Caenorhabditis elegans: one gene and its partners. The protein of the gene in region 4 interacts with the protein of the main gene of each other region in a pairwise test. Each region holds a gene or a part of one and is shown on either strand. Other genes may lie near its edges. The genes, in order: cul-4, cul-6, cul-2 and cand-1.

The links.
Region 1: the proteins of cand-1 (region 4) and cul-4 interact in a two-hybrid assay, tested with the Caenorhabditis elegans proteins (one study listed by BioGRID).
Region 2: the proteins of cand-1 (region 4) and cul-6 interact in a two-hybrid assay, tested with the Caenorhabditis elegans proteins (one study listed by BioGRID).
Region 3: the proteins of cand-1 (region 4) and cul-2 interact in a two-hybrid assay, tested with the Caenorhabditis elegans proteins (one study listed by BioGRID).

Annotation. Positions count from the first base shown.
Region 1 is NC_003280.10:7,299,506-7,307,072, reverse strand, and holds cul-4 (Cullin-4), read right to left. Parts: upstream 4,973-7,567; 5' UTR 4,963-4,972; coding exon 4,861-4,962; intron 4,815-4,860; coding exon 4,707-4,814; intron 4,661-4,706; coding exon 4,582-4,660; intron 4,541-4,581; coding exon 4,493-4,540; intron 4,448-4,492; coding exon 4,344-4,447; intron 4,297-4,343; coding exon 4,105-4,296; intron 4,059-4,104; coding exon 3,726-4,058; intron 3,672-3,725; coding exon 3,311-3,671; intron 3,227-3,310; coding exon 3,116-3,226; intron 3,070-3,115; coding exon 2,851-3,069; intron 2,805-2,850; coding exon 2,296-2,804; intron 2,251-2,295; coding exon 2,003-2,250; intron 1,652-2,002; coding exon 1,543-1,651; 3' UTR 1,315-1,542; downstream 1-1,314. Other genes in the region: brf-1 (B-related factor 1), read right to left, coding at 1-30, 70-655, 702-994, 1,040-1,202; C30G12.1 (uncharacterized protein), read right to left, coding at 5,583-5,810, 5,855-6,117, 6,230-6,481, 6,538-6,692, 6,738-6,874, 7,081-7,189, 7,237-7,337, 7,386-7,502. UniProt on the Caenorhabditis elegans protein: Component of cullin-based E3 ubiquitin-protein ligase complexes which mediate the ubiquitination and subsequent proteasomal degradation of target proteins.
Region 2 is NC_003282.8:12,585,633-12,593,098, forward strand, and holds cul-6 (Cullin-6), read right to left. Parts: upstream 4,820-7,466; 5' UTR 4,797-4,819; coding exon 4,699-4,796; intron 3,817-4,698; coding exon 3,040-3,816; intron 2,777-3,039; coding exon 2,437-2,776; intron 2,308-2,436; coding exon 1,858-2,307; intron 1,705-1,857; coding exon 1,375-1,704; intron 1,296-1,374; coding exon 1,233-1,295; intron 1,053-1,232; coding exon 921-1,052; 3' UTR 853-920; downstream 1-852. Other genes in the region: K08E7.8 (Leucine-rich repeat domain-containing protein), read right to left, coding at 1-53, 96-169, 353-434; Multidrug resistance protein pgp-1, read right to left, coding at 6,196-6,272, 6,325-6,678, 6,729-7,050, 7,100-7,361. UniProt on the Caenorhabditis elegans protein: Probable core component of cullin-based SCF-like E3 ubiquitin-protein ligase complexes which mediate the ubiquitination and subsequent proteasomal degradation of target proteins.
Region 3 is NC_003281.10:13,685,199-13,693,380, forward strand, and holds cul-2 (Cullin-2), read left to right. Parts: upstream 1-2,452; coding exon 2,453-2,481; intron 2,482-2,532; coding exon 2,533-2,676; intron 2,677-3,418; coding exon 3,419-3,479; intron 3,480-3,613; coding exon 3,614-3,753; intron 3,754-3,915; coding exon 3,916-4,021; intron 4,022-4,243; coding exon 4,244-5,917; intron 5,918-6,411; coding exon of another isoform or gene 6,412-6,417; coding exon 6,418-6,510; intron 6,511-6,770; coding exon 6,771-6,899; downstream 6,900-8,182. Other genes in the region: WD repeat-containing protein dyf-2, read right to left, coding at 59-258, 425-559, 632-697, 1,090-1,178, 1,236-1,247; cyn-2 (Peptidyl-prolyl cis-trans isomerase 2), read left to right, coding at 7,534-7,602, 7,886-8,137. UniProt on the Caenorhabditis elegans protein: Core component of multiple cullin-RING-based CBC (Cul2-ElonginB-ElonginC) E3 ubiquitin-protein ligase complexes which mediate the ubiquitination and subsequent proteasomal degradation of target proteins.
Region 4 is NC_003283.11:16,800,760-16,806,935, reverse strand, and holds the start of cand-1 (Cullin-associated NEDD8-dissociated protein 1), read right to left. Parts: upstream 4,065-6,176; 5' UTR 4,063-4,064; coding exon 3,925-4,062; intron 3,433-3,924; coding exon 3,322-3,432; intron 2,788-3,321; coding exon 2,533-2,787; intron 1,863-2,532; coding exon 1,349-1,862; intron 532-1,348; coding exon 1-531. Other genes in the region: ctps-1 (CTP synthase), read right to left, coding at 5,124-5,416.

The DNA of each region.
Region 1 (7,567 bases), on a different chromosome or scaffold from region 4:
CTCCTTTTTCCAACCCTGAACTCTCCACAACTGTTTCAGTAAGCGTCTGCATTTTATCATTTTCCTTACCTAGATTTTCACTAATCATTCGTGCATATGGACTTTTTGAAAACTTTTCCTTCCTCTTCTTATCGAGTGCAGCTTCAACGTGAGCTTCCATTTCTCCTAGTTGTTCTTTCATTGATTCTGCTTGCTCAGCCTCTTTTCTCAATTGATCCTCACGTGCTTTCCGTCGTGATTCTCGATATGCTGGTGGATCTTCACTATGTTCTAGATCAACAGTTGAAAACTCATCAATCGTAAGACTTCCCGAAGGGGTTTGACTGAATTCATCGAGACGTTTTCTGATTACGCCTTCACTGATGTGTACAACACGAACGATATCATTAATGGATCGATTGAAATTAAGAGATCTTGCAGCAATTAAAAGAGCAGCTCCACAGATTCCAGTTGGTCTTCTTCCAGTAGACATCCAATCTCTTTTCATTCTTTGTACTAGTCTTGTCGCCAAATTCACAACTTCTTTCTGTTTGTCGCCAAAATCCAAAACACATGCGAATCGCATAATGTAAAGACAAGGATCCGTGGATGGGAGATTGATACGCAATGAACGAGAAAGGTAGTTCAAGTTTCTTCCCAAATCGAAGACATTAATCTGAAATTGCACTTATTAATTACAAAAGTTTACCGAAATGTCATACCTGAGTGACATCACTGAAATCGAGCAACAAATGAGCAGTGTTTTCTAGTCGACAAGTTATATACATGCAAACAGCAACAACGGATGATCTATTACGTCCACGTGTCAGGTTACGAGATACGCACATTTTGTAAAAATTGAATGCAGTGTTCATACAATGTGAATTTATTCGTAACTGACTGCCGAGCTCATCAATAACTTTCCGGCCTTTTGCATACGTCATTTCTCGAGATTCTTGAGATCCCATTCCATTGAAATTGTTAGCTGCAGCTCGCTCTGAGGACACAAATTGACCTGAAATAACATTTTGTAAATACTTTTAACATTCCTACCACATACCGACTAGAGTGTGACCTGATCCACCAGCTCGCTCTTGAAATTGATTTTCAGTTACGACAATGGATTCTTCGAGCACAGTTCCGCACGCAGTGCACGTAGCATCTCCTCTAGCAGCATCCTCATCAATTTCAGAACTTCCGCAGTTCGAGCAGGTTCGAACCATTTTGTGTCTGCTTAACGAGAAACTTTGAAAATTGATTAAGAAAAAAAAAACCAAAAAAATGTAAGATCACGGATATTTCAACCGATTCGAGTAATTTCGTATAAAGAATTCAATCAAATAACCATGTATTCAACAGTATTTTGGATGCACATGTTAGGTGAAGAGAAAAACATAATTGAAAAAACAGAAACTAACATTTAGTACATTTTTCTCTAAAAAAGACGAAACTCGCACAAATAAAGGAAGAAAACTGTTCAATAACAGGGCAAACGAGATGAGAAGAGACCAGTGGCACGGATAAGGATTGAATTTGAAAAAGGAATAAAAATGATATTATGTATTACGCAACATAATTATAGCTAGATGCCTCTTCAGGATCCCTCGATATATATTCACGTTCGATGAGTGATTCCAGGCGTTTCTTGATATCGGCGGTGCTCACGGGGAATCTGAAACAAAAAAAACTCATTTAGAATAATTAACATTTATTTTACCTTAGCAGCAAATTTAGCAAAATTTAGACAAATTTTTATCAAGGAAATCGCTTCAAAATGTCAAAATTCATATTAATTTACTAAATGCTATGTTTTTGAGAGTATTGAAAAAGTTCTCAATTTTTACATTTCCTTTGATTTTGGTTTGTAGTTGTGTGCCAATTTATATTTTACATTCAATATTTTCATAAAAAATTTCAAAACCAGTTTTTATTTTTCGGCTTATATTGATATTACTATTTCTCGAATAAAAAATTGATTGAATTTTTTGAATTTAAAAATAAAGTTTTTTTTCTGAAAACTTACCTCAATTGTTGCAATAACTCCGTCATTAGAGTTTGATGGTTTAGCTGCTTTCGAGCCTTCATAATTCTTACAACAGCAGCGTCAATTTTGTATTGTCGATCAGAATTCACTTCTTCTTTCACTTCCTTCGTCTCTTCCACAGCTGTCTTTATATTGACCTGAGCAATCCTAACTCGGCAGCGCTTCTCCGTGAATTTAGAATTTACAACAAATTTCTCGTTTTTCAAATTTTCCACAGTACCTTCCTTCTAAACAAAGACATTTTTAGTTGAGTTGAATGAAAAGTTAGTTACCTTTTCGGATCCACCTCCTTCGACTCTCTGCAAAACCTTAGGCTTATCACGTCCACCAAGAAGTGCAAGCACATTTTTGACGACTTCAATTTCCAGAATCTTAGTGTGCTCAACAATTTCAGCGACAGTCCATGTCTCACATTTGTTGAAAAGAAGAAGAATGACAGTTTGATACATTGTTGCAATTAATTCTTTCTTACATCCAGGCCTGAATGAAGCAGAAATAACCGCAGAAGCCAGTCCGTGATGCCATTTAACATTCCGATTTCCATGTTGAACACGGTAAAAATCTTGATAATCGGTAAGTGTATCTCTCATCTCTTTTGGAATATTAATTTCATATGTGTCATAGGTTGGCCAATATTCTGGAGTTATGACTCGAGCAGTGAAATTCGCTTTTTCTTTGTTCATATGTTCTAGATATTGGTTGAATAATCTTCCATAATTTTCAGATGCATCCATATCTTTGAACATTCCTTCCAATTTGTATGTGAACGCCGAGCCACACTCTAAATCAAAAAGTTATTAATTTGAAAACTAAAAAGTATTAAATACCTGTCTTTAACTTGCATAAAACCATCTTTTCAGCATCAACAGATGCACTTCTTTCAAGGAAAAGCCGCTTAGCAAGACCTCTTTTATAATATGCTTCAAAAACGTCTTTTCCACGAAGATATCGGAACAACACAATAGCTTCATCTACCATTTGATCGAGAGTTGTGTCGTCTGATACATTTTTATTGCTACTGTGAAGAAGTGTGTGGAAGTGCTTTGCTGAAAAATAGAAATTATAATATAGAAATTTCGAATTATGACTTACAAATAAGTTCTGCAGATCGATCGACTTGTTTATTTACAAAAGATTCAAAGGCATCTGACAAACATTGTCTCATTTTTACTGGATCATTTGCGGATTTGAAGCTTCCAGTCACTGAAATATGATTAATGATCCACGTATGAGGAATTTAAAATTTTTGATAATAATAAAAATAACAGAGAACTTTGAAATACTTACTGATAAAATCAACTTTCTTCTTGAAAGCAAGTAGCTCAGAAACAAGATCTTCATCAGGACACGTAGCAATCAATTTCTCTCCGCGTTTTTTCAAATACTTTGAGAATTGTGTACGTACTTCATCCTCTCCACCAACGCATTGACGGCACAAATTAAACATTCGGCCGATATCCGAAATGTTATCAGAATCGATAAGATCGTCAAAATCATGTGTGAGAATTTCAGGAATTGCTTGTTGAATGAGACAGTTTGTCACTGTTGCCTGAACATCTTTTAGAGCCGACGGTTCATCAAAGTTCACTTTCACTAATTGCGAATATCGATTTATCTGGTCTTCACAGTATTCCATGTAATCGTTGCACTAAAATAAATATAAGTAATCGAGATTTTTCAAAGAATGAAAATAAAAACCTACATTCATTTTTGGAACTTTATCGATTCTCTCATTGTTATAGTGCTCTCGAAGTTGGCTAATAAGGAATTTTGCAAATTCTTCAGACACATGAACTGTTTGAAGCATATCTACAAGACTTCTGAGAGGACTGTCCACTGGATACCTCTGCATAATTTTCTGCATCGCCATATAGAGAGCATTGAACAGTTTTGTTGCTTTGAATTCCTTGAAAATGTTCGGGAAGAATGTTTTTTGAAATATTTGCATGAAACATTCCCACAAAGGGAGAATTTCTGTGTCTGTAGCGCCGAGCGCAATTCGGTCCAGATGAAGAAAAATATTCCTGATGAGATTCTGAGTTAAATCTATTGTTTTTTTTTAAATAAAACTCTTCACTTACGATTTTAACTGGATATGCTTGCCAGATCTGCCCAAACTTTTCCAAATATTGCTCACAATTGTCTTCTGCAAGAGGAACTTGCTCAACCGCATTTAACGACTCCTTTAATGATTTTGCAAACTGAACAACAATTGCAACGAGACGATCGTAAAGTACTTTTGATTGATTTTTATCGCACACAGATCTGACCTTCTGAAAACGCTCAGTTTTTACAATGTTTTAAACAATCAAAAACTTACGCTGAATAAGCCTTCCAAAGTGGTTACTGTTTTCCTATCTTCAAGAATAGCGAAAACATTATCCGAAAGAACAGCCCAATCTCTACCAACTGATCCGTCTGTACCTGGATATCAAACAAAATATAACACCTATCGAAGAATAAACTTACTATCAATATTGGTGTCCCCCATCGCAACATCATTTTGATTCGCGTTCGCTGGAAATCAAAATAACTAATGAAAACTTTACAAATATTACCTTTAAAGTTCTTTATCACAAGTTTCTTTTTGATGCGTTCATTTGTTGCGGTTGTGCGTGAAGAATTGCCGGTTTGACTCTGAAAACTTCCCACCGATGAACATTTTAATAAATTAATAACTCACTCTGAAATTCTCAATAAATCCATTTCCATGTCTGATTTCGCTGCTTGTTGAAACATCGTCCATTTCTCCGTCGGAACGATTTTCAGTGTCGCCGCGCATTTGCTTAGCCTGCAATTTATTTTTTCTCACATTGAAAATATTATTTAATTACTACCTCTGTACCTTCAACGGTGCTGGCTGTGCGCTTTGACGATTTTCGAAGCTGTTTACTTCGACTTTTTTCTGTTGAAATAGTCGGTGGTGCTCCAGATGTCATCCAATTTGTTCTGTTGAAAATGTTAGATTATTAGTATCTCTGAAGAAACAAACAGGACGGTTGGCGGTTTTATATAGAAAGATATTTTAAGATTAAAATAAAACGATTGGATTTAAAATTTCCTTTTCTCAAAATTAGATTTCCGCAGTTTAGAAAAACAATTTGGCTTAAATAATATTTGAAATGCCGAACTCATGCATTATTTTGAAGGCAAACTGAGGCCAAAGACGTTTGCTGACGCGCGGCGTGCTGGCGCATCTCTAGTGCTTGAGAGGCTGTTCATATTGAGAGACGCAGACTCTGCATAAAACTGTATTTATTATAATAGTAGGTCTACAATTATTTTTGTAAAGATTTTCTACAATGTTTGATCCTTTCATTGGAACCAAAAATTTATCAATTCAGCATTATCAAAAAAAGAGAGTATATCCAGTACTTGACCAGAAGAAGACAATTCCAACATCTGTGTTTGTGTTCATTTAATAAATATTTTATTAATTTCAACATGGAAAATTAGGTCAAAATACTTTGAAAAAAACAACCGAGATGCCTGAAAAATGAAAGAAAATTAGGGGACCCGATAGGAAAAGTCTGTTTAATTATTTGGTAGAGTAATAAAACTAAAAATGGAAAGGATTTGAATTCATATGAACTCGGCAAATCTCGTTTGGAAGTCGATGAGAAAGAGGGTTCGGTGCAGAATATCTAGAATCGGTCGAAACAAGAGTAGTAAACGGTTGATGGGGAATGAATAGATGATTATGAGAAAGACCTCCAACTCTTGTAGACGGTAGAAATGGATTTGGGGCTGCAGGTGTTGGAAGAATGAAACGAAGTGGAAGAGGAGTCTGAAATAATTGATAATTCAGATGTATTAAAGATTTAAACCTACAGTAGTAGTTGCAACATTTCTCATCGATAGAGCCTGTTTCAATGAATATTCATCAATCATTTCATTTTTTTCCAATGCCTTTGAAATTAACTTCAAGATAATTGGATCAACAACTGTTTGAATACTTGAAAGTGAAGAAGAAGAAGCTGATGGCATTGTTGCAGGAGTCTTGGTTTTATCAAAATTTGGTTGTCTAGTTGTGGTTGAAAATGGAATCGTTTGAAGTGATATTTGTCTTGGAGTTGTGGTAGTTGTTGGAATGGCTGAAAATTGACAGCTTTAATCGGATGTTAACTTAATTTATTAATTATAAATTGCAATTTTGAAAATGTTGTATATACTGAATTTTTCAAATAGTTGTCTTGTAGATGTTACCTGTGGATGTTCTTGTTGTGGTTGTCATAGTAGTCGTGGTAATTTGAGGATTAGTTTTAGTAGTGAAAACATTGAAAACTTCTTTCTTTTTTTCTGGTTTCTGTGATTTTCTTGGTTTCATTGTTGTAAAAGTGGCTCTATACGGAGAATCAATCTTCGTAATATCAATGACTGGAGCTACTGGAACTGATGCAACGGGTGGTAATTGGGGTTTAAATTGTGAAGCAGCTAATAATTCAATCATATCCTTATCTGGAATAATGAAATGTTTAATTTTCATAACAAATATCTCGAAGAAAGGAAATCACCTTTCCCGAGTTCAAACAAATTCTGCCACGGACCTTCCATTGCAAAGAGAGGACTTTGACTAACTACTGGAAGGAATCGAGAAGTTACTGTAGAGTTAATATTCAAAAGTTTGTGAAGCATTTCACTAAAATCTCTTTGTGGTCGTGTGCCAGGCCTGAAACAAGATTATTTGAAAATGCAGAATATTGGATGAACTTACAATGGTTTCGAGCTTCTTTTGCTACGTTTCCTTTTTGATTCTCCATACATTCGTCTCATTTTAACTAACTGTATTTTCTGTTTCTCAAAGTTTGTTAATGGTCGGATAAGATGATCTCCAACGTAGACGTGATTATTCTAGAAAAAAACCGTATTTGTTAATTGTAGTAATTAAAAAGTGAAGTGACTATTTCATAGATTCTGACAAAAGAATACGGTAATTGGTCTCGAAGCGTCTTTGACCTATCAATTTCCGATCGTGTCGACCCCTGATACCGTAATATTGAAGATTTACATTAAAACCAGATGGTTCTAACTATACACAATTGGAAAAAAAAACTTACTCGAACAATACAAGAATCCAACACCACTTCAATAGAATCATCATACCCTCCACAGAATTTTGGAATTGTAGGAAACGAGGCTTCGAAAGAATCAAATGAAGATGATGAACTGTAAAACGCTTAATTTTCAAAACAATCGAGAATAGAATGACAAACTCTTTGAATGCACTTAGATCATGCTGATACGAACTAAATATGTGTAGTTCGTGATCATTCAACTTTCGCTTGGAAACACCATGAAGGAATAGGGTACTGTCCTGAAAGATTTGGAAGATATTTTCAAATTGTTTTCTACGAATGCTTACAAATACAGCACATGCTGGTCCAACATAACCATATCCAGGTTGATATTCAGGTGGTGTATTTAGAATTAGGGCATTACCAATTAAAGGTAATATAAAATAATGAAGACTTTTAACCATGGCAACCAAAGGGTACACCTAGTCAAAGACTCTATTTGGTCGTGATGAGTTCAAGTTACGAAGCA
Region 2 (7,466 bases), on a different chromosome or scaffold from region 4:
TTGATCACAAATTTTTTGGGGAATTTTTTGAAGCCGTTATCTTGAATACTAACCTGAAACTGAACATTTTTAGGAATAGGTTTTTTAGAACGTACTTTTGTGATTTCGTATCCCTTAATTAACATGTACACCGCGTCAGCCATGTACATTAACTGGCAAGATGAAAGGTCTGAAAACAATATGTTATTTGGAATTTCGGTGAGAATTGTTCAAAATATTAAATAGTTTTCGTAAAACTTTACTCTGCTTCTAAAAAACGGTCTGCTTTGTGTGCGCCTACCATGTAGGCACACAGATGCCTACAATGTGTCCTACGCCTTCATTGCGACTACAGAAAACAGTCTAAGCTCACCCAAAAACCCGGATTCTTTTGCAGCTTCACATCGTTCGACTACTTGAGTCACTCCTTTGCCGGCTGACATTACAATTGACATTTTTACAGATTAATAGAACTTGGGCAGGGAATAAGTTTTAAAAATAAATGGAGTAATATAAATGACCCAAAGATTTCAAGGTTTCAAAAGACAGAAAGAATGGGAGAATGAGATACGCAGGGAGTTGAACACTTTACAAATATCGTCTTTGAGTTTCTCTCGGCAGGAAGAAGGAGGAGGATTAGCTATTGATTTAGTGGGAGAAATGAAGGATCAATGATCTCAGGAGTTACGAACTGTGAAATATGTAAGTATAAATGCTTTTTCCAAAGTCCCAAAAAGCAGACGCAGACGAAAAATAGAGTGGTTCATCGCGAAACTAAATCGATGTCGGCGGCGAATTATTTAATAATAATTTCATGTGAAAATTTAGGTAGATTTTAGTCCTGGAAATACATTAGAAAAAACGTCATGTGGATGATATTCACAATACTTTATTGCATTTATTTCTTTGAACAATTAAAAAATAAACTAAAGCCAGTAATTTTATGCCAAATACTCATAGACATTGTGTTCGTTTTCTGATCGACGTATGTACAACTGCTCAATCAGGATTTCAATGCATATCTTGATCATTTGCACATTTGGCGTAAACCGGCTTTTCAATTGACTAATTATCTGAAAAAAATTAAAGTTACCAAGCTCTTGAAACCCGTGTTTTTAAATTGTGTTTTGCCACTAATTCAGTTGCGGAAAATTTTTAATAAAAGTTCAGTGATAAAACTATACAAAAGAGCAACTATTTGGATTATTTTAAACTATTGAAAAACAAAATTACTTATATTGTTAGCCTCTTACCTCATTAATGAGCAATGTGTGGGTGAGACTTTTCCGTGTCTTCATGATTCTTACGATGCATGCCTGCAAGTTAATTGCCATGTTTTTTTTTAAACATATCCTTGCTTGCAAATAATTTCATAGTCTCGATTAAAAAAAATACCTTGATCTCATACTTCCTATCGCTTTCAACTGTATTTTGAACCGCATCTGTCTCACGATCTGCTGTTGCTTTTTTAATTGCCGTTGTCAAATCCACTCGCACTTTTTTGTTCGCATACTTCGTATTCAAACTCACTACGGCATCAGGTGGATATCCATCTTTTTCGTTGCCTTTGTCAACTACTAGCACTGGATCAATAACCGGATTAAGAGATCCTACGATAGCCGAAGTTGACTTTGCAGTCATTTCAATAGCTTTGGAAATTTGTTCAATTGTGAACGAGTCCTGCTCATTGAAAAGATAGAGCGTGCAGAGTTGGCTTGCTGTAACCTGGAAAATTCTAACTTTTAATAAGTTAAGATTTCAAAAAGCAGTTTGGCTTCTTCTTCTGCTTCTGCTTCAGGCTGACTTCTGATTTTAAAATTTTTAATAAAATGTTATCTGATAAAAATAATAAGTTTGAATAACTATAGATAAACTCACAATAAATACATATTTCTTTTCGAAAGCTTTAGAGTTAACTTCGCCCCGGCATTGTGAGTAAGCCCAGTTCAATCTTCGTCCATTATGACTCGCATTGTAGAATGTATCGAACTCTTTGAGAATTGTCGATAATTCTCGCGGAAGAATAATCTTGATTTGATCTAAACTTGGCCATGCACCAGTTGTTTGAAGAATAACGTTAAAGTCAATCGACTTTTCCGTTTTGATATCTTTGAATTCAGTAGTCAAATCTTTACTAATTTTAGCGTCTTCGACCATTTTCACAAGATTGCGAGTATATTCGAGACCTTCTGTTGCAGTTAGATTTGTAATGAACTTTTCTTCTGCATCATCACTTGCTGAAGAATTATTGATGATTCGTTCACTGAACCAATTTTGATAATACAATTGGAAGACATCCTTTTCGCTGATATACTTGAGCACCGTTAACTGAAAATGGGATTTTTTTACATACGTGGTGTTAGGCTGTCCCATCATGTTTTGATCTATAAAGGGAATTTTTCGTACAGAAAAATGTGATGGAGCAGCGACGTTCAGAGTTGAAAAAAGCAAACTCACTGCTTTATCTAGCGCCGTTTCATCTTGAACCTTGGAATTCTTCTTCAAGAGCTGATCACAATATCTTGCAAGATAGTCTGCAGACCTTGTGCTTCGGTGTTTTTCAGGAGCCAACATAGTCACAGCATTAGCTTCGATAAAGTCCTTAGAAGCTTTGTCGAGAGATTGCATGAAAAGTGCATTTCTATCGAATGCTTTATTTATCAAGTTGAAATAAATCTCGTGAACTTCAAGGAGTTTGGTTATGTATTCCTTTGGTGTAGTTTTTAGTCCACTGTCTTTAGCCAGTCTTTGCAATGTTTCGTGTCCTTCTTTTAAAATTCGCTTTTCGAGATACACCCTGAAACTTCGTTTGTTTAGAATTAGAATGTTTATTTTTCTAAAAATGGTATTCAATTCAATACTTTTGAACAACTCTGAAAATTTCTGAAACTTTTAAAAAAGTTTGCTCAACATTTCTGACAGTTTTAACAAACTTTCCGGAAGTTTCTAGTAGTTTTCCGAAAAATTATTCAGGGATCCCAAGTTGTACGGCAGTACATACATAGTATGGATGAGCAACTCAGAGACAACACTTGCTTCCAAAGTGGTCAACTTGCTCACCTCAAATCCTCGAGTCCATGTGTAACTCTCCTGCACAAACTGTACATTCTCGTCAGGTGCTCATCCTTTCTAGCCTCCAAAAGACGTTCAAACTCGCTATGCAAGAACTTCAACCGATCGGAAATCAAAATAGATTCGCATGAGTCAATCAGTAGATCATTTGTAGATGGTCCAAGATATCGTCGACTCCTGTATTCTTCTTGAAACAGTCGATTTTCAACAGTTATCATGTATTCTATAACAGTCTCTTTACTATTCAGCACCTCTTGTTTGTAAAAGAGTTTTGTGGCATCAAGGAACTGGGGTTCAAAGCTAACCTTGTAAATATCAAGTTCCGTCAGACATTCGACAACTGAAGAAATATGTGTGCTATTAATTGTCGATCCACATCTTTCCAAAAGTATCAATTCAAGAATAGCATCGATTGTTTTAACTTTAAAATTATCAAAAAATTCAGCCTTCCAAATGTCTAGAGCCAGTTTGTAAATTTCCACAATTTCTCCATTCTTGTCTTCTACTTTTTTCGAAACAAAATTTCGATTCAAATACTGAAATATACAATTGCAGATTCTTGTAGAAAATTTGAAGTTGTCCCATTCGATGGTGCATTTTCCGAGTAGTTCATCACCAGAACACGCTGATATTCTGTCTCGAATTGCAATCACATATGTCCTGATATAGTTTTCAAGTTGTTTGTAGAGAAATTCACTTGCAAATTCTGGCGAATTATTATTTGAATTGGCAAGTGTTGTTGTTGTGCAAATATTATAGACAGCACTGGAATTTGTAATGATGAAGGAAGGGTGTGCGGCAATTGCCGTTCGGCAATCGAATAATTGCCGGAATTGCCGATTGCCGGAAATCAAAATTGCCGGGAATATAAATTTGAAACTTTTTTTAGATTTAGGAGCCTGAACATGGCATTTTAATGAACAATTTTCAATTTTCAAGCTCAAAATGATTTATCGTTTTCCTTTAAAAAAAATTACTAGCCGAGTACTAAAAAACAATGTGAAATTATTTCAATTTCCGAAATATAATTAGGATTGAAAATTGCAGCAATTTTGGCAATTGCCGGAAATTTCCAAACCCGGCACTTGCCGGAATTGCCGATTGCCGAAAATGCCCGGCAGTCGGCAATTTCGGCAAGTTTGCCGAAAATTTTCAAAACCGGCATTTGCCGAAATTGTCGATTGCCGGAAATTTCCGAGTGCCGCGCACCCCTGGTTGAAGGTTTTTAATTTGTATTGTAGTGACATTTTAAAAAAGCCAAAAAATAACTTGTTTGAGTTTTGTGACAGTTAGCCGGTTTGCCGAAAATCATAAAAAAAACTCTCTCATTTTACCAAATAATTTTTCTGCAATTTTTAAATTTTTTTCAATTTGCAAAAGAAAAAGTTGAAAGGCCTGATTTCCATTTTATTTCCCGAGCAAATGAATAAACTAATTTTGACTTTTTTTTCTGTCTCTATGCTCAATTTTCCGAAATTTTTCAACCAAAAAAGAAAATTTATAACCGATGTTTAGGCAAATTTTAGATGATCAGCAAAAAAATTCCACATAAGATGAAAAAGTAAGGTTAAATATATTTTTTTAATTTCATATATATATATCAGAAAACTAAAAACAAGCAAAATTTCAAAACTAACGCAGACTTACTCATAAAGCATCATATAGTACTTCTTCGACATATGCTCTCTTCGATACAGCAAATTTAAACCATCTTGCAATGTTCCCCACACTGCTTCGATGCTCATTTTCAGGTAATTGTAGCTGAAAATAATAATAATAACGTTTCTTTTTAAAGAAGGAAAAGTTTAAAATGCAGAAAGCGCGGACAGAAACTGAAGAGAGAATGTGAAAAGGTGGTAGACTGTTGCGTAAGAGAATTAGAGAAAAAAGTAATGTTAGCAAGAATTTCGAAATGATCCATTTTTTCTCAGATGCTATGGTACTTGAAATGATGTGTGTTCGGTGAAAGATTGATTAAAGACAGTGAAACTCTTTGATGAATGTTGAACTTGATTTAGAACATTAGATAAGATTATAAGTTAAATATTTGTTCAGTTATTAAGTTTTTATTATTTGAGTGTAAGGTCATACTATTAACAATGTGGAAACCTTACATGCTACCAATTTACGGTGTCTTACTAGTTTGAAAAATAGGAGCATGGTTTAAAAAAGTGCCTCCGAAAAATTGAGGAATGAAAATATAAGAGAAGAAGCATCATAACTTCTTGATAATGCCAAATGCCCTAAATACCGCCCCAGCACATTAACTAAACGGCTTTTTCGAAATTTTTCAATGTTGTTGAATTCTTTCGAGATTTACCTTTTGAACTGGGAAAACTCATACATATGTATACGTATTCATTCACGCTACAAACTTAAGAACTTTTTTCAAAAACCCGAAATTATTTCTTAAACTGAGAAGATGTGTTGAAATAGGTGTAACCGACGGCAAGTAGTGATACAAATGAAATTTCATGAAATAAGTTCCTTATCATACGGTGATGACTCATGAGAGGCAGAGAATGAGGAAAAGTTGGAGAGCAAACAGATATGTGTAGTTTGGATCAACAGTTCGGTGTACACATTGTGGTAGCACATGGAGAGCAACTTTGGCTTTTAAATTACATTAAGATAACTTGCATTTTTTGCAAAATTGCAAAATTGGAATGTTCTCTCACAAGGGAATGGTTTGCAGAGGGTTTAGAATTTTCAAACTAATTCAGTGCCATTCGATAGCTGATATTATGAACTTCTCGAACGTAAAGGACCGTTTTTGCCGCGGACATCTAGAACTCGAGATATTTGCGTCTAAAATTTACTACTGATTCCAGTTGATTTTCAGTCTTAAAGATTAAGGCTAGCCTCCAAATGCCGAGCAAGTAGCAAAAATTTAATTGAAGTTATGAAAACATAAGTTGAGTAATTATGTAGAAAAAATTTTCATTACAGGATTTAATATGCACATCCATCTGTCGCACATATCTGAGAGTCTGAAAATGATTCTAGATAGACTCAAGTGAAAATATTTATTCAATTCAAACTTCAAAAGTAACTCAAAACAGAGGAACGACTTATTAATATGCTTAGGGGAAAGATCGTGCAAAAATCGAGAAAGAAAGCTACACAAAATTAATGATTTAAAGTTTATTTCTTCTCGGTCATCTGCTTTTGGGTCAGTTTGTAGTAGGCACCCTTCTCAGACATCAACTGTGTGTGGGTTCCTGTAAAAATAACAAGATTAGGGATAGGAAGGCTCTTTGAAAGTCTGCTTACCTTTTTCAATAATAGTACCATTGCTCACGACAGCAATACAATCTGCATTCATCACTGTGTTCAAACGATGAGCAATCACAATACAGGTTCTTCCCTCTCTCGCACGATCCAGCGCTTCTTGGACAACCTTCTCGGATTCTGTGTCCAGTGCTGACGTAGCTTCGTCCAAGAGTAAGATCTTGGGATTCCTTACCAGGGCGCGTGCAATAGCGATACGTTGTTTTTGACCTCCGGAGAGCTGGGTTCCACGGTCTCCTACACGAGTCTCAAAACCTTCTGGAAGCTCTGCGATGAAATTGTGGATGTTCGCAAGCCTGGCTGCTTCTTCAACTTGAGCCATGGTAACTGAGGAAGCTGAAATTCAATCAATTAATGAAATGATTGTTGTATAAATGATAACTCACGATCCAAGCCATAGATAATATTCTCTGCAATTGAGCAATCAAACAGTGTTGGCTCCTGGGATACAATTGCAATTTGTGATCTTGTGTGCTCAGGGTTCAACGTCTTGATCTCGGAGCCATCGATAAAGATCTCACCGCCAAGGGTGTCGTAGAATCTCTCAAGAAGCGCTACGACGGTAGACTTTCCACATCCTGATGGTCCGACGAGAGCGAGAGTTTGTCCGGGCTCCACTGAGAAGCTGAGACCCTTCAGGATCTCGATTTCTGGGCGTTCTGGGTAAGCGAATCGGACATTCTTGAAAATGACTTTCCCGTAGAGTTTCTGAAAATGTACATTTTATTATAGTTAAACTCCTATTCAAAACTGTTACCTTCTTCTCCCCGGCCAACGACAAACTATCAATTTTCGAAATCTTCCGTAGCATCCCGAAGATAATACCACCAGCAAACGTGGCTTTCGCATATTCTGGGAAATATGAAGTGGCGAATCCGAGGGTAGACGTGGAAATCGTGATGGCATACATGACACGAAGCACACGCATTGGTTGCATAGTTGGTGGGTCGGTGATGATCAGGGCGAGACCCATACGATAGGCACATGTGTTGAGAAGGTACAGGACGGATGAGGCACATCTAGAATATAGGAAGTGTTCGAATTTGGAAATTTCATTTAAATATCCGATACCAATGTCTGGTCAAAGTTTGTCAGGTTTAAGAATAGGCGGTCGAAAATTGGCC
Region 3 (8,182 bases), on a different chromosome or scaffold from region 4:
TTTCAATTTTTTTCCAAAACATGATTTTCGAATATAATTTGAACGGAAATATTCTAACCTGAAAGTGTATTATCGTCACTACAAGAAATTACATAATCCTCCGGGGTTACTGTAATCTGTGTGACACTTCGTTGATGTTTTCCCATCACGGCTATCCGCCGAGACGTTCGATGATTGTAGACGACGATATTTCCTGCGTTGTTGCCGATTACCAGTGTAGGAGTACTTGGGGACCATGCAAGACATGTTGGGAGCTCTCTGGAATGAAGCAAGTTTTGGTGTATCACTTTTTAAATCTGAAGTACGTAGAAATACAACGAAAAATCTGTAATCTTTTGAAAACTCCAAAAAATCTCACAGTTTCAAAATTTTGAAATAATATTTTGTAACCGTATTTAGAAAATGCCCCCGTTTTTCAACTCACTTTGAAGAGGTCGCTCCACTCTCAACAGTATCTGTATTCCGCGAGTTCACATCCCATAGATAAATAGTCCCGGTATTTGCTACGGCAATCGCTAGTACATCACCTTCCTTATCCCAAGCTATGTCGATAAGTTTTCTGGAAGTTGAAAAAAGTGTAAATCACGAAAATCTTCTTTTTTCTTTACATTTCAAAAAACTCTGAACTCACCCAGTTGGATTCAACGCGTCAATAACATTTCCTTTCTTATCGTAATAGATGACCGTGTTATTGGCGCTGAAAAGTATAATTTATTGCTTGGAAAAGCTCAGCTTTAAAATGCATTTAAAAAGCTTCAAATTCAGAAATTCCAGAACCGATAATAATAAATTGAGAAATAATGATGAAAATTCAAATTTTCAAAAATCTGAACAATCAGCGATTGGCTCCACCCATTTTCAAACCAATCAAGGTCTTTGCAAACGCATTGGTCATGAAGCTCCCATTTTGGAAAAAAAATCAAACAGGACAATTAGCCAAAATTGAAAATCCTACTTCTAAAAGTTGGCTTTAAATTCTTTCTCGATTTTTTTCGTCTTTTTTGGAGTTTTTGAATTTTGAATATTTTAAAGAAAAATCTTTAAAAAAGATACTGTTAAAAATAAGAATTAAACAAAAAATAAACAAACCATGCAACAGCTACAGTATGCCCATTTGGTCTCCATCGATGAATAATCGGTCCACTTCCGTGCTCTTCTTCGCCTCTTCGATATTGAAGCTGAGCAGAAACACATTTAAATACTTCCTGATTTTTTGTGAGAGTACACGGAATTACCTTTAATGACATTTATATGAATGAAGATCTCCGTTGTTTTCGACGTTTGCCACTGCTCCCCTATGATTTGTCACTTATGTCACGAGCCTACAAATAATGGTTACAAAAAATGAAGTACAAATCATTGAGCTACCCGAGCCTTTGGGGAGTTGTTGCCTTGGTAACCGGGCTACACAGTGTGTGTTGAGCACGCAAATTGAGGAAAGAACAGGGGAAGTGGAAGAGGGGATTTGATCATTCCCGGTTTGGGAATAATGACAATTAGTAGAATTTTCTGGATTCTCGAGAAAAAAAAACAAACCGCAATTTCATCTTTTTATGTGAATATCGAACAAAAATATTTGATAAAATTATTCATTTACACATCTGGGGCAAATACATTTGTAATGGGAGAGCATTACGGGTACACTAAATTTTGAGAAGTATCTCATAGCGAAAACTACAGTAGTTTTTTTAATTAGTACTGTAGCACTGCTCCGATTTTATTTTGGTTTTTGGCCATTTATTCCAAGTTTAGCCAAAAAATGCACAAAAATGCCAAAAGGGTATTCTTTTTTTTAATTTTTCAATATTAAAATTTTTAGAGAAAACTTTATAATCAAATTCCAAAACGACTCCACCTTTAATAACTTCAAATATTAATTTAATTTTAAATTTTAGACTTCAGAAAATTATTCTTAATTTTTGTTCTAAACAGATTTCCTTTTTAAAATCCTCCTTTTCTCACATGTCACATTTTTCATTGTCATTGCCAACTTCTAACATATGACGTTCAATATATTTTTAACGTTTGTTATCTCTTTTCAATATATCTTCTCTAAAAATCAAATTTCAGCTTCTCCACCATATCCCCGAAAATCTTCAGTGTAACCTCCACAGGAAACCGGTCCGAGGTTCACCGTCCACAGGCAAAACTGGCGTCGAATACACAGCCGACATCGAATCGTACGACACTTGGCCGCCGTAAGGCAATTTCTGACGACAATTTTCCCGTCGTTGAGCCGATATTGAAGAAAATGTGAGTGCGTCTGCTGCGCATCGATCGATATTATTTGGTTTATGACCCCTGGTTTCTCATTTTTCGGTTTGAATATTAAATAATTGAACGAATTAAAAAAAGAAAGAATAATTAAAATCACGTGATTCTTTTTATCAATTAAATTTTCGTGTTTAGTTTTTTAATCCGCATTTCAAAAATTTTCGCTTTTTCCGTAAAAATGGCAAGTTCCACAAAAGTTTCCTTACGGTACCCGTTATTTTTTTTTGAAAATTTCGCACAAATTGTCATCATTTTCAGTCGTCCACCTCGTCCACAGGTTATGTACTCACTGAAGCCAAAAGTTGTGGAATTTGACAAAGTATGGGTGCAGTTGAGACCATCTATCATTGATATCATCAATTTGCGGCCGATCACCAATGTTCAGTGGCATCACAAGTTTAGGTAAGTTTTGAAGGAAAAGTTTGATTTTTTCCAGTGATAGAAATTTCAGAAAGTATCATTTCTGTCATTCAACAGATTTTTCGAATTTTTAATTTGAAAAAAAAGATTTTTTGGGATTTTTTGTTCAAAAATGTCTTGATTTTTGGCCAATATCTAAAGTTTTTGTGCAAAAACTATTTATATATAAGGCAAAAATTACCTTTTTGTTATTAATCCGATTTTGTAAAAATGTTATGTTTTAAAAAATCAATTTTTGAAGTTATTTTCAGCAATCGCGTTGTTTGTAAGCAACAATCCTAAATTCGATTTTTGACAGAGAAAAAAAGTTTTTCGAGGATTTTGTCCACAAAATCCGAAAATTTTTTGACAAAACTATTTTTTTTTATTTCACGTGTATAATTCACTGAAAAACTCAATCATTATTCCAAGAATTGTAAAAAATTGCTCCAAAACACTAACATTCACTTATTTTCCGATTAATTCAGGATTATCCGAAAAATCGATTTAAAAAAACATTGTTGCAAAATCGGATTGATGATCTTATAACCTCTTAAACATACTTTTTAAAACCATTTTGGTAGTATTTTTTGAACAAAATCCATTTCTGGGAAAAAAACATGAGAATTTTTGAAAAAAAAAAAGATTTTTGTACTTTCCAAAGAAAAATGTCAAGAATCACAACTTTACGATACGAAAAGCTGGATTTTTATAAATTTTTAATTTTTTTAAATATTGTTTTCAGTGACGTCTACGACATTTGTGTATCGATACCGACTCCATTGAGCGAGCGATTGTATAATGAGGTATCTCGAATTTGACGTTTTCGACGAAAACCGAAAAAAAAAATTAAAATTCTACTTTTTTCTTCGGATTCTACTATAAAAAAGGATTTTCTAGCGAATTTGGTGATGAGACTACAAGATTTCCATTTTTACAGGTGAAGGCTTGCATTCAAGAGCATGTTCGACAAAAGCGTCAAGATATCGTCGATGTTGATCCGGATCTGTTGCTTCAGGAATATCACAAAATGTGGAGAGTTTTCCATGAGGGAGCCATCTTTATTCACCGTCTCTTTGGGTTCGTGTGAAATTTCTTCGGAATTCTTTTTAAAATTCAAACAATGATCTGAAAATGCTCCAAAATGCATTTTTGTGAAACGTTTTCACTGCGTCGTTGTAGAAGAAAAAGAATTGAAAAATACCCAAAAAAAAGAGAATTAAAAAAAAACATTATTTACAGATACCTGAACAAACAATTCGTAAAACAGAAGCGATGCACCGATTTGGACAATTTCGCGCAGTACGCCGCTTTTCTGCAGATTCCAGACGTCAAGGAGATCGGATGTGTGAGTTTGCGACAAAAAAATTGCGCCAGGTTTTTAGAAATTTCTTTATGTTTTCGACGAAAAAGTGGGTGGAAATAAAATCCTAGGCCACGGAGATGACTTCCGTGGCCGATGATTATCAGTTAAGACCACAGTGCGCTTTTTCAAAATTTTGTGTTCCTGGAAAATAACTATTAAATAATTGAGAAGTTTTGAACCAAAAAAACAAATCGAAATTTTCAGCTCGCACTAGAAATCTGGAAAGAAGACCTCGTGAAGACCATTCTCCCGCAGCTCGTCAAACTTCTGCTCATCGCGATTGACAATGATCGGAAAGGAAACTTCCCGCATATCGCCAATGAAGTCTCCGGCGTCATTAACAGCTTCGTTAAGATGGAGGAGACGGATTTCGACGTTGTACCGGCAGAAGGAGCACGCTATAAGGCTCGCGAGTCGACAACGGCGTTCTATCAGGAGAGCTTTGAGAAACCGCTTCTTACGGATACGGAACAGTACTATTCGGCGCTCGCACAAAAAATGCTCACCGACCTCAGCTGCAGTGAGTACATGGAACAGGTTATAGTGCTCCTCGAACAAGAAGAGATGCGTGCGAAGAAGTATCTCCACGAATCGTCGGTGGAGAAAGTTATCACGTTGTGCCAGAAAGTTATGATAAAAGCTCACAAGGATAAACTTCACGCAGTGTGCCATGATCTCATTACTAATGAGGAGAACAAGGACCTCCGCAACATGTACAGACTGTTGAAGCCCATTCAAGCGGGACTCTCGGTAATGGTTAAGGAGTTCGAGGAATATGTGAAGAAGAAGGGGCTCGAGGCGGTGTCGAGGCTCACCGGCGAGAATGTACCCCAGCAATTTGTGGAGAATGTGTTACGGGTGTATAACAAGTTCAATGATATGAAGACTGCTGTGTTCATGGACGATGGCGAGTTCTCTAGTGGACTCGACAAGGCGTTGCAGGGAGTCGTGAACTCGAAGGAGCCAGGACAGTCGGTGCCGAAGGCCAGTGAGCGGTTGGCGAGATATACGGATGGGTTGCTCAAAAAGTCCACGAAAGGACTATCGGAGACGGATTTGGAGGCGAAACTCGACAGTGCAATTGTGATTTTCCGCTATATAGAGGATAAGGATATATTCCAGAAGTTCTACTCGAAAATGCTCGCAAATCGGCTTATAGCAAGCACATCGATATCGATGGACGCCGAGGAGCTGATGATTAACAAGTTGAAACAGGCGTGTGGTTATGAATTCACCAGTAAACTGTCACGAATGTTCACCGATATCGGGCTTAGCCAGGAGCTATCGAACAACTTTGATAAGCACATTGCGGACATTAAAACTGTGCAGCCCGACGTGAAGTTTGTGCCGACACAGACGATGATTCTGCAGGCAGGTAGCTGGCCGCTCAACGCTCCACAGCTCTCTACGAATTCGAATAATCAGACCGCACAAGACGTGGCCAACTTCCATCTGCCACGTATCCTGCAGCCTGTGATTCAGGAGTTTGAGAAGTTCTACACTGGGAAGCACAACGGGCGAAAACTGACATGGCTTTTCAATATGTCACAGGGAGATGTCAGGCTTACATACCTCGATAAGCAGTATGTCGCACAGATGTATGTCTATCAGATGGCAGCGCTGCTTTGCTTTGAACGTCGCGATGCTATCCTCGTTAAGGACATCGGAGAGGAGATTGGTGTGAGCGGTGACTATCTGCTAAAGACGATTCGAACGATTTTGGACGTTACCCTGCTGACGTGTGATGATCAGAATCTAACGGCCGACTCGTTGGTTCGTCTGAACATGTCGATGACGTCGAAACGGATGAAGTTCCGGCTTCAGGCGCCACAAGTGAATAAGGCTGTCGAGAAGGAGCAGGAGGCCGTCGCGAATACTGTAGGGTTTTCAGTTTGTTTTTCATTGGCGAGGGCCTCAAGTTATGACTTTTTGAGTTCAAGCACTAAAAATCTGTATTTTATTTAGTCCTAGACTTTAAAAATTTTTAAACGATCTCAAAAACCAAGTTTTAAAATGAGACACCTTGAAAAATTCTCAGCATTTTTATGACGGTGGAAATTAAAACAAGCCAAGCTCAACTAAAATCTCAAATGCTGAAAAATCTTTAATAAAGAGTTTAGGTGTTTTTTCGAAATTTTAAACCTTCGTAAAATTTTTTTAAATGTCTCACTATGAAATTTGGTCTTTTGTGGAAACTTTGAGTCAATTCAATCAATTAAACAATTTATCTGCTCCCTTTTTGAGCCAATGAGCCTAAATCAAAGCTATAAACTGTGGCCTAGAATTCTGAGAGACTAGACGTATTTAGTTAGGCCCCGCCTCGATGCAGCTAGATTATCCAAACACGTGTGCCTCGCAATCGTCAATATTAGTTCCAGGTTTCACAAGACCGAAAGTACTATATGGAGTGCGCAATTGTCAGAATTATGAAGACCAGGAAGGTTCTGAAACACAATGCACTTGTCACTGAGGTTTGTTAGATTTTTGTTGTTGGTCAAAACCCTGTAAAACGAGATATTCAACCGACTGAAAATGCTTTACAAAAATATTTTTGTTTGAATTTTGAACCAAGAAACTGAAAATCAAAAAGTGGATTTTCCTCCAAAAAAGAAAAACAAACAATTTTAGAAACAGTTTTTGGTCCGGAACCCCCCAAAAAAAAGCGAAAAAAATCTTTTTGCAAAATGTGCTATTCCACATCAAAAATGCGGAAAACAACATTTTCTTGCAGATAATGGACCAAACGAAAGGCCGCTTCTCGCCCGACGTACCATTCATCAAAAAGAGCATTGAGGACCTTATCGAGAAAATGTATATTCAGCGAACCGATCAAAATGACGAGTATCAATATTTGGCCTAATTCTCTCCCCCTATTTGCGTGTTTTTTCCCTGAGAGGCAAAAAACTAAAATTTAAAATTTACACTGTGTAAATGACTCTGAAACATGCCATTCAAAATCCCCACTATAATTTTATTTTTCAAGATTTTCTAACAATGATTGCTTTTTTTCCAAATTGAACTGTACTGAAAGTAAATCCCCTCGCCCCTCATCTTACATATTTTATATCATTTTTTGCTGGAGCTGCGCAACGGGGAATCATCAAACTGTTTATTGGAATACCTATTTTTATACTTTTGGAGCCCTCAAAAACTGAAAATCGCGGGAAATTCTCTGTTACTCCCGACAAACGGCTATTTGCCTATAAAACCAACCAGTCCGTAGCCTCTCCTTGAAAATGTATATGTACTATATTTGTCTTTTTTTTGTGTTCTATCCTCCCTCCTCAAGCAACTATTTTTTCTCCGGAATCTCTATGATTACGATAAAGTAGACAATTATCCTTCCCAAAATTCCAATTTTGTTTCATTTAAATTTTCACGTTTTTGAACTTGAACTTTGATCCACGACACTCTTACGGCACGTGGCAAGTCATAATGGAAAATTTGAACGTCGGTAGTTTTAAATTTATTACTGCGAAAAGAATCGATCAGCGATGCCACGTGTCAAAGTGTTCTTCGATATCACGATTGGCGGAAAGAAGGGAGGACGCATCGTTATGGAGGTAAGGGGGGCAGCGTTAGGTTCTCGGAGCAAATATGATTACTGTAGGCGCTAGTGGTATGTCAGTTTGCACTTTAATGAGTATAAATTGAGAAAATCGATATAATTTTTTGTTGCCATTTATCGATTTTTGTCGTTCTGTTATCGGTTTTTAGGATGATTGTAAAATCTTTTTCAATGGTCTTGCAGAAATTTGCCAGTTTTTCGACTTTTCAGGAAGTTACTAGATTTTGGCAACATTTAAAAATCAATAAACTAAAGATTTTTAAAACCTGTCGTTGCAGCTCTACAACGACATCGTGCCGAAGACAGCGGAAAACTTCCGCGCTCTGTGCACCGGCGAGAAAGGAAAAGGGAAATCGGGCAAGAAGTTGCACTTTAAAGGATCCAAATTTCATCGCATCATCCCCGAGTTTATGATCCAGGGCGGCGATTTTACGGAGGGAAACGGCACCGGCGGAGAATCGATTCATGGCGAGAAGTTTGACGACGAGAACTTCAAGGAGAAGCATACCGGACCCGGAGTCTTGTCGATGGTGAAGATTCTGAAAAACTAAAAAATCGATATTATATTTACTCAA
Region 4 (6,176 bases):
TATCGGTTAAAATGTTGGATACAGCCGGAATAATATCATCGAGACTATCTTCAAGGCCTGATGGATAGGTCCGAATTAGGGCCGAAAGAAGTTCAATGCATTTTGGACCAGTTTTCGGGTGTTTTTTCATCGATTTTGTGATTGTACGAAGAAGCACATCTTTCTGATCAGCTAACGATTGAATTATAGCCAACTGGCTGCGTGATAGATAATTCGTCGAAAATTTGGTTCCACCAATCACCACAATATCATCAGTTTCAATGGAATCCTCGTCGGCGGCCACAACGGCCTTCTGCAAATCTGGGACCAAAATGGAGATCTGATTGAGTAGGGCAATGTAGACTGAGATGATTTCAGTTCGGACAGTCTCTTCGCGTTCTTTGAATCGTCCAATCACTACTGGACCGATTTTTTGCGAGAGATTGAGAAGGGATTCCCGGTGTGATGAGATCATTGCTTCGATGGCTTTTGCGGCGGCGCGGCGAACTTTCCATGTGACGTCTTCGTCGTCGCTGTATTCATCTTCGTCGTCTGCAAAAAATTTGAATATTTAAAGGTGGACTACGCTCAGCGAGGAAATTGCTTTAAAACACGCCTATGGTACCACAATGACCAAATACCATGATTAAAAAATTCAAAAAAATTTTCCAAATTTTATATGATTTTTTGAAAATTGGAAAAATCGCAGTTTTCCCCTAATTCCTTTTTGAATTTCCGCCAATTGGATTTGTTCGATGGAGCGCGCTTGCACGTTTTTAAATTTATTTATTTTATTTATTGTTATTTTCCACCAACTTTTAAAGTTTTCGGTGTATTTTTGCTTGAATTTAGAGAAAAAGTCAAAATAATTGCAAATTTTCGATTAAAAAGCACGCTACCAGGAAATTAGTTAATTCAGGTTTTAAATCGTTTAAAAGCGTTACTTTTTCATTTTTACGCCTGTACGTTTGCTTTTTAATCGAAAATTTGCATTTATTTTGACTTTTTCTCTAAAATTCGAGCAAAAATACACCGAAAACTTTAAAAGTTGGTGGAAAATAACAATAAATAAATAAATAAATTTAAAAACGTGCAAGCGCGCTCCCTCGAACAAATTCAATTGGCGGAAATTCAAATAGGAATTAGGCAAAAACTGATATTTTTTTCAATTTTCAAAAAATCATATAAAATCTAGAAAAATGTTTTTGAATTTTTTTATCATGATATTCGGTCATTGTGGTACCATAGGCGTGTTTTAAAGCAATATCCCCACTGAGCGTAGTCCACCTTTAAGGCTAAAAAAAGCTCCAAAATCAAGAATTTCAGCTAAAAAATCTTTAAAATCTTCAATTTTCGCACAGTTTCCTACCATCTTCATCATCTTCCATTTGCTCATCCTCATCATCATCTCCATACTCGTAATTCGGATCATAGGCCAGTGCATCAGTGAGCTGTTGGATAACTTCCTTCTCAAAAGCTACAACTTCCTGTGGATTCCGGTACAAAAATACTTCCAATCCTTGAATAGAAGCTTCCCGTAGATCATCGTGCTCCGATTCGGTTCCAGGATCAATTTGAAGATATTGAAGAAGGAACGGAACAACTTTCGGCGTATGCTTCGAGAATCTCGATCCACTGGCTCGTGCGACAGTGCTCAACGCGATCACAAGTGTACGAAGTTGCACATTTTGAGCAGCCGACGATGGAGGGGATCGTTGAGCCAGCTCTTTGAGCAAATCTTGAACGAGCTCATCGTAAAGCTCTCCGTTGATTACAGAGGCAAGATGTCCGATTCCAGTGATTGCCTTCTTTCTGATAGCGGAACGGAATGAATACAAGTGATCTACCATCACTTTCAACGATCCTTTGTGCATTTCGGGAACCTGGAACTAGAAATGTGTGAGATTTTGCTTCAAAAAGTGCCAAAATAGTCTTAAATTCGGGAAAAACGTGAAATTTCGGCTGAATTCCATCTGATTGGTTGAAAAGTGGGCGGGGCGAATCGCTGATTGGTCGCAATTCCCATTTTGGAGGAAATTAGCCAAAATTGAAAAATCGCGTTGGATTTTTCGTTTTTTTTTCGAAATTTGGCATTATTTCAGAGTTTTTAAAGCAAAAAATGGAAAATTTTTGAAAGTTTGGTTTAAAAAACCCAAAACTGACAATTTTTCAATTTTAGGGTTACTGTAGCTCCACAAATTCGCAAACACTGACAACACACCGGATTTGACGGCAAAATGCAGAATAATCAATATTTTCCGCAATATGTCGTGTTTGCGTGCTTTTAAGGGTACAGTAATCCCGGTAACGAGCAAAATGGCTGTTTTCTAGAGTACTGTAGCCTCAAAAGTGAGCAAACACCGCCAAGACACCGGACTTGACGACAAAATGTAGAAAAAAACGGAATTTCTGCAAAATGACGGTTTTTGGCTAGATTTGGGGTATTTTTTTTGAAATTTTGAAGATATTTGAGCTCAAAAAAGGCTCATTTGGGCTATTTTAAGGCTTGAAAAGCCCAAAAAATAGGATTTCCGGGTGTAAATCCACACTTACAACATCACCAAATCTCAGCAAAACTTCTCCAATCAAATCGAGAACATCGACACGAGCCGCATCATCTGGAGCACACAACGACAGAGAATCCACAAATTTTGGCAACATTCTCTTGACAACTGTAGTTGTTGCATTACTTGAAGCCGATGGAGCCAAATTTAGAATCATTGCTTTAAGTGTGAGAGAATGAATATCTCTTGATTGTTCAGCTTTCGAAAAAACGTGTGGAGTGAGCTCTTCGACGAGATATTCCAGCTGAAATTTGGGATTTTTTCAAATTTTTAATGATAATTTTTTTAAACAAAAATTTTTAATGTTAAATATTTAATTTCCCGTTGAAATGTTGAAAAATCTACTGAAATTTTGAACTTTCTGTGGAAATTCGACTGAAAATTCCAATTTTTTAAACTTTTTATTGTAGAAATATTGAATTTCACGCTGAAAATTTATTTTAAATTCGAATTTTCCGACAAAAATTGATTTAAAATTTGACCATCCATCCAAAAAATGACTTTTTTGTCAAACTTTGACTGGAAATTCGTGTTTTCCTCCAAAAATTGAATGAAAATGTGACTTTTCTGAAATTTTATATAAAAATCGACTGAAAATTCGAATTTCCAGCCAAAATTCCATTTTTTGTACGAAATTTTCAAACTTTCCAGTCATTTCTTAATTTTTTGAAGGAATTTTCGTATTTTTCTCATTGAAATCTCCAGTTTTGTCGTATTTTTTCCAATTTTTTCCGTTAAAAACACCGAAATTAAAATTTTGAATTTTCCGATTACTGACATGATGCGTTTTGATTTTCGATGGCTGAGCAAGGAGTCCAATACATTTGATCGCAAGATTTTGAACTTCTCCGTTTGAGTCACTGAGCAGTTTGATTAGAGCACGAATGACCTGAAAAAAATTAGAAAATTCAGATTTTAGCTAAATTTTGAATTTTTTTTTGGAATTTTTGTTTAAATTCCGGCGGTTTTTAGTTAATTTTAGCCATTTTTTGAATTTTCAACATTTTTTGGCAGAAATTTCCGGTTTTTGCCAAAATAAACAGTTTTTTTTTGTAATTTTAAATAATTTTTTTTTCGTTAAAAATTTAAATTACAGCAGAATTTAGCAGTTTTTCGGATTTTTAAATAATTTTTTTTGTAGAAAATTACGGTTTTTGCCGGTTTCGAATTTTTTTTGTAGAAATTTCAATTTTCAGCTAAAATTTTTTTTGAAATTTCAAACAGATTTTTCTGTTGAAAGTACAGATTTTAGCTATTTTTCACCTTTTTTTTCAAAATTACAATAAAATTTCACTGGAAAATTCAATTTTTAGGGTTATTTTTTAGCTTTTTAAAGCAATTTTTGCACCAAAAACCGCCAATTTTTGAGATTTTACTATACTTTAGCAGTCGAATCGTCCTCCAAAGCGATAGTTCCAGTCTGCAAATCTTTCATCAAATCATTGCAAGCCATGAACCGGAAATCCTTATCCGGATTCGACATTTTGTCGACCAGTTGCCCGACATGATAAGCACTCATCTGGAAACAAAATTTGGTCTGAAAATCACTTTTCGGGGTCTGAAAACGTGAAAAAGATAACCAAAAGAGGCAAGAAAATAGACAATTTTGGGCGCCAAAATAAGTGATCAAAAACTCTAAAAACGAAGTTCATCGGGTGTTGGTAGAGAACAAAATCTATGAAACTGGGTCAACAATTGAATAAATCCGGGAAAAAATGAAGGTGACTATGGGAGAAATTAATGAAAAAAAAACAGAAACAAGGATAACAAAAGGACAAAAACGACGAGAAAAATGCGAAAAAAAAGAAGAAAATTATCTTTGGAATATCAGAAAATAAGAATAAAAACAACAAAAACTGGAGGGATTTTTGTCTGAAAATGGTCTGAAATTGACGAAAAAGGGTCGATTTTTTCGAAAATTTGACTCAAAATTTGCAAAAATCTGAATTTTTCGTTTTTCTGGCGGATTTTGGCAATTTTTTGAGTCAAAAAATAATTTTTTGGACTGAAATTGGTATTTTTAGGCCAGTTTTTGGGAAAAAAAGCTTGAAATATCGCAATTTCAGATCAAAAAATAGTTTTTTGGTGGAAAAAGCCATTTTTTACATATTTCGCTCAAATTTTGGATTTTTAAAAACATTTTTGCCTCAAAAAAAAAAACCACTTTTCGGGGTAAAAGTGTTCCTTTTTAGGCATATTTTTGGGAAATCGGCTGAAAAAATGAGTTTTCTGGCGCAAAAATGTAAATTTTAAGATAAGCAGCTCAAAAAACGGCAAAAATTGAAAAAAAAATCGAAAAATACCAAGTTTTGAGCGTTTTCCCGTTTTTCGCACAAAAAATAGCTTTTCGGAGAGCAAAAATCCAAAAATTCAGCAATGTCAGCTTGAAAAATGGATTTTTGGCTCAAAAACTGCAAAAAATCCAAAAATTCAGCGATTTCAGCTCGAAAAATGGATTTTTGGCTCAAAAAAAGGCAAAAAATCGGTCAATTTCTGCAAATTTTAAGACGATTTTCTGACAAAATCATCTACTCAACTACAAAAAAAGTGAAAAAAAACGACGAAAAATTGAGGAAACAATTAATGGAAAGAAGCCAATCTCTGAGTTCCTGGCACAGCATTTCCCTCGAGTTTCAGTTTCCCCAACATTGCTCCAACAACATCTTCACGCTTCTCCTCCGAGTCATTCTCTTTTGTATGATGAAGATGCTCCTCTTCATTTACAACTTGAAGAGCCGGACTTCTTGACCCAGAGAAATATGAATTAAGTTGACGAGTTGCGGCAAGCAGAAGACCGAAGAATGGTGGAGATGGAGTGAGTGGATGGGAAAGGTATTCGGGATGGAATTGGGCTCCGACAAAGTATGGGTGGTCTGGAATTGGAGATAAGCTTCAAGGGGTGCCGGTTTTTTTTAATTTCGACTTTTTGAAAAATCTTCTCAAAAATGAATAAAATAATGTTTATCAGCATAAACAAAATTTGATTTTTTTTTAAAGTTTGTTCATCGATTTTCACCAGAAAAATTTAGATTTTTAGGAAAATAACTTCCAAAAATGGAATTTTTGTTAGGTTTTTCGGACCAAAAAACTTCTTTTTTTTTCTTCAAAAATGTTATATTTTAGTTGGTATGACGATAAAAAACCAACAGTTTCTTTTTTTTAGCCGAATTTTTTTTTGACAGTCTTGTTAAAATTTTTCTGAAATTTCAAAAAAAAAATTGTAGATTTGTCCGGAAAATGGCTTAAAATTTGGGCTATTTTTCCCACATTTTTGAAGAAAAATATCGATTTCCTTATAGTTTTTACTCGTCAACTTGAATAAAAATTATCAAAAAAATGAAATTTTTTTTTTTTTTTTTTTGATTTTTCGAAAACAAAGTCGATTTCTCGGAAAATAGCTGAAAATTTGGGGTGTTTTCCCACATTTTATAAGAAAATAATATGCCTTTTTATGTTTTTCTCCACAAAAAAAATTTGATTAAAAAATCGAAATTTCTCGATTTTCTCCAATTACACCCTTGGTAAGAATTTTTAAAAAAGTAGAAAAATACGACTAAGAGAAAACGGCCTAAATTAAGAGTGACAGGGCCAAACCAGCAGATTTTGAGAAAAAAATTAACTGTTAGCAAAGAA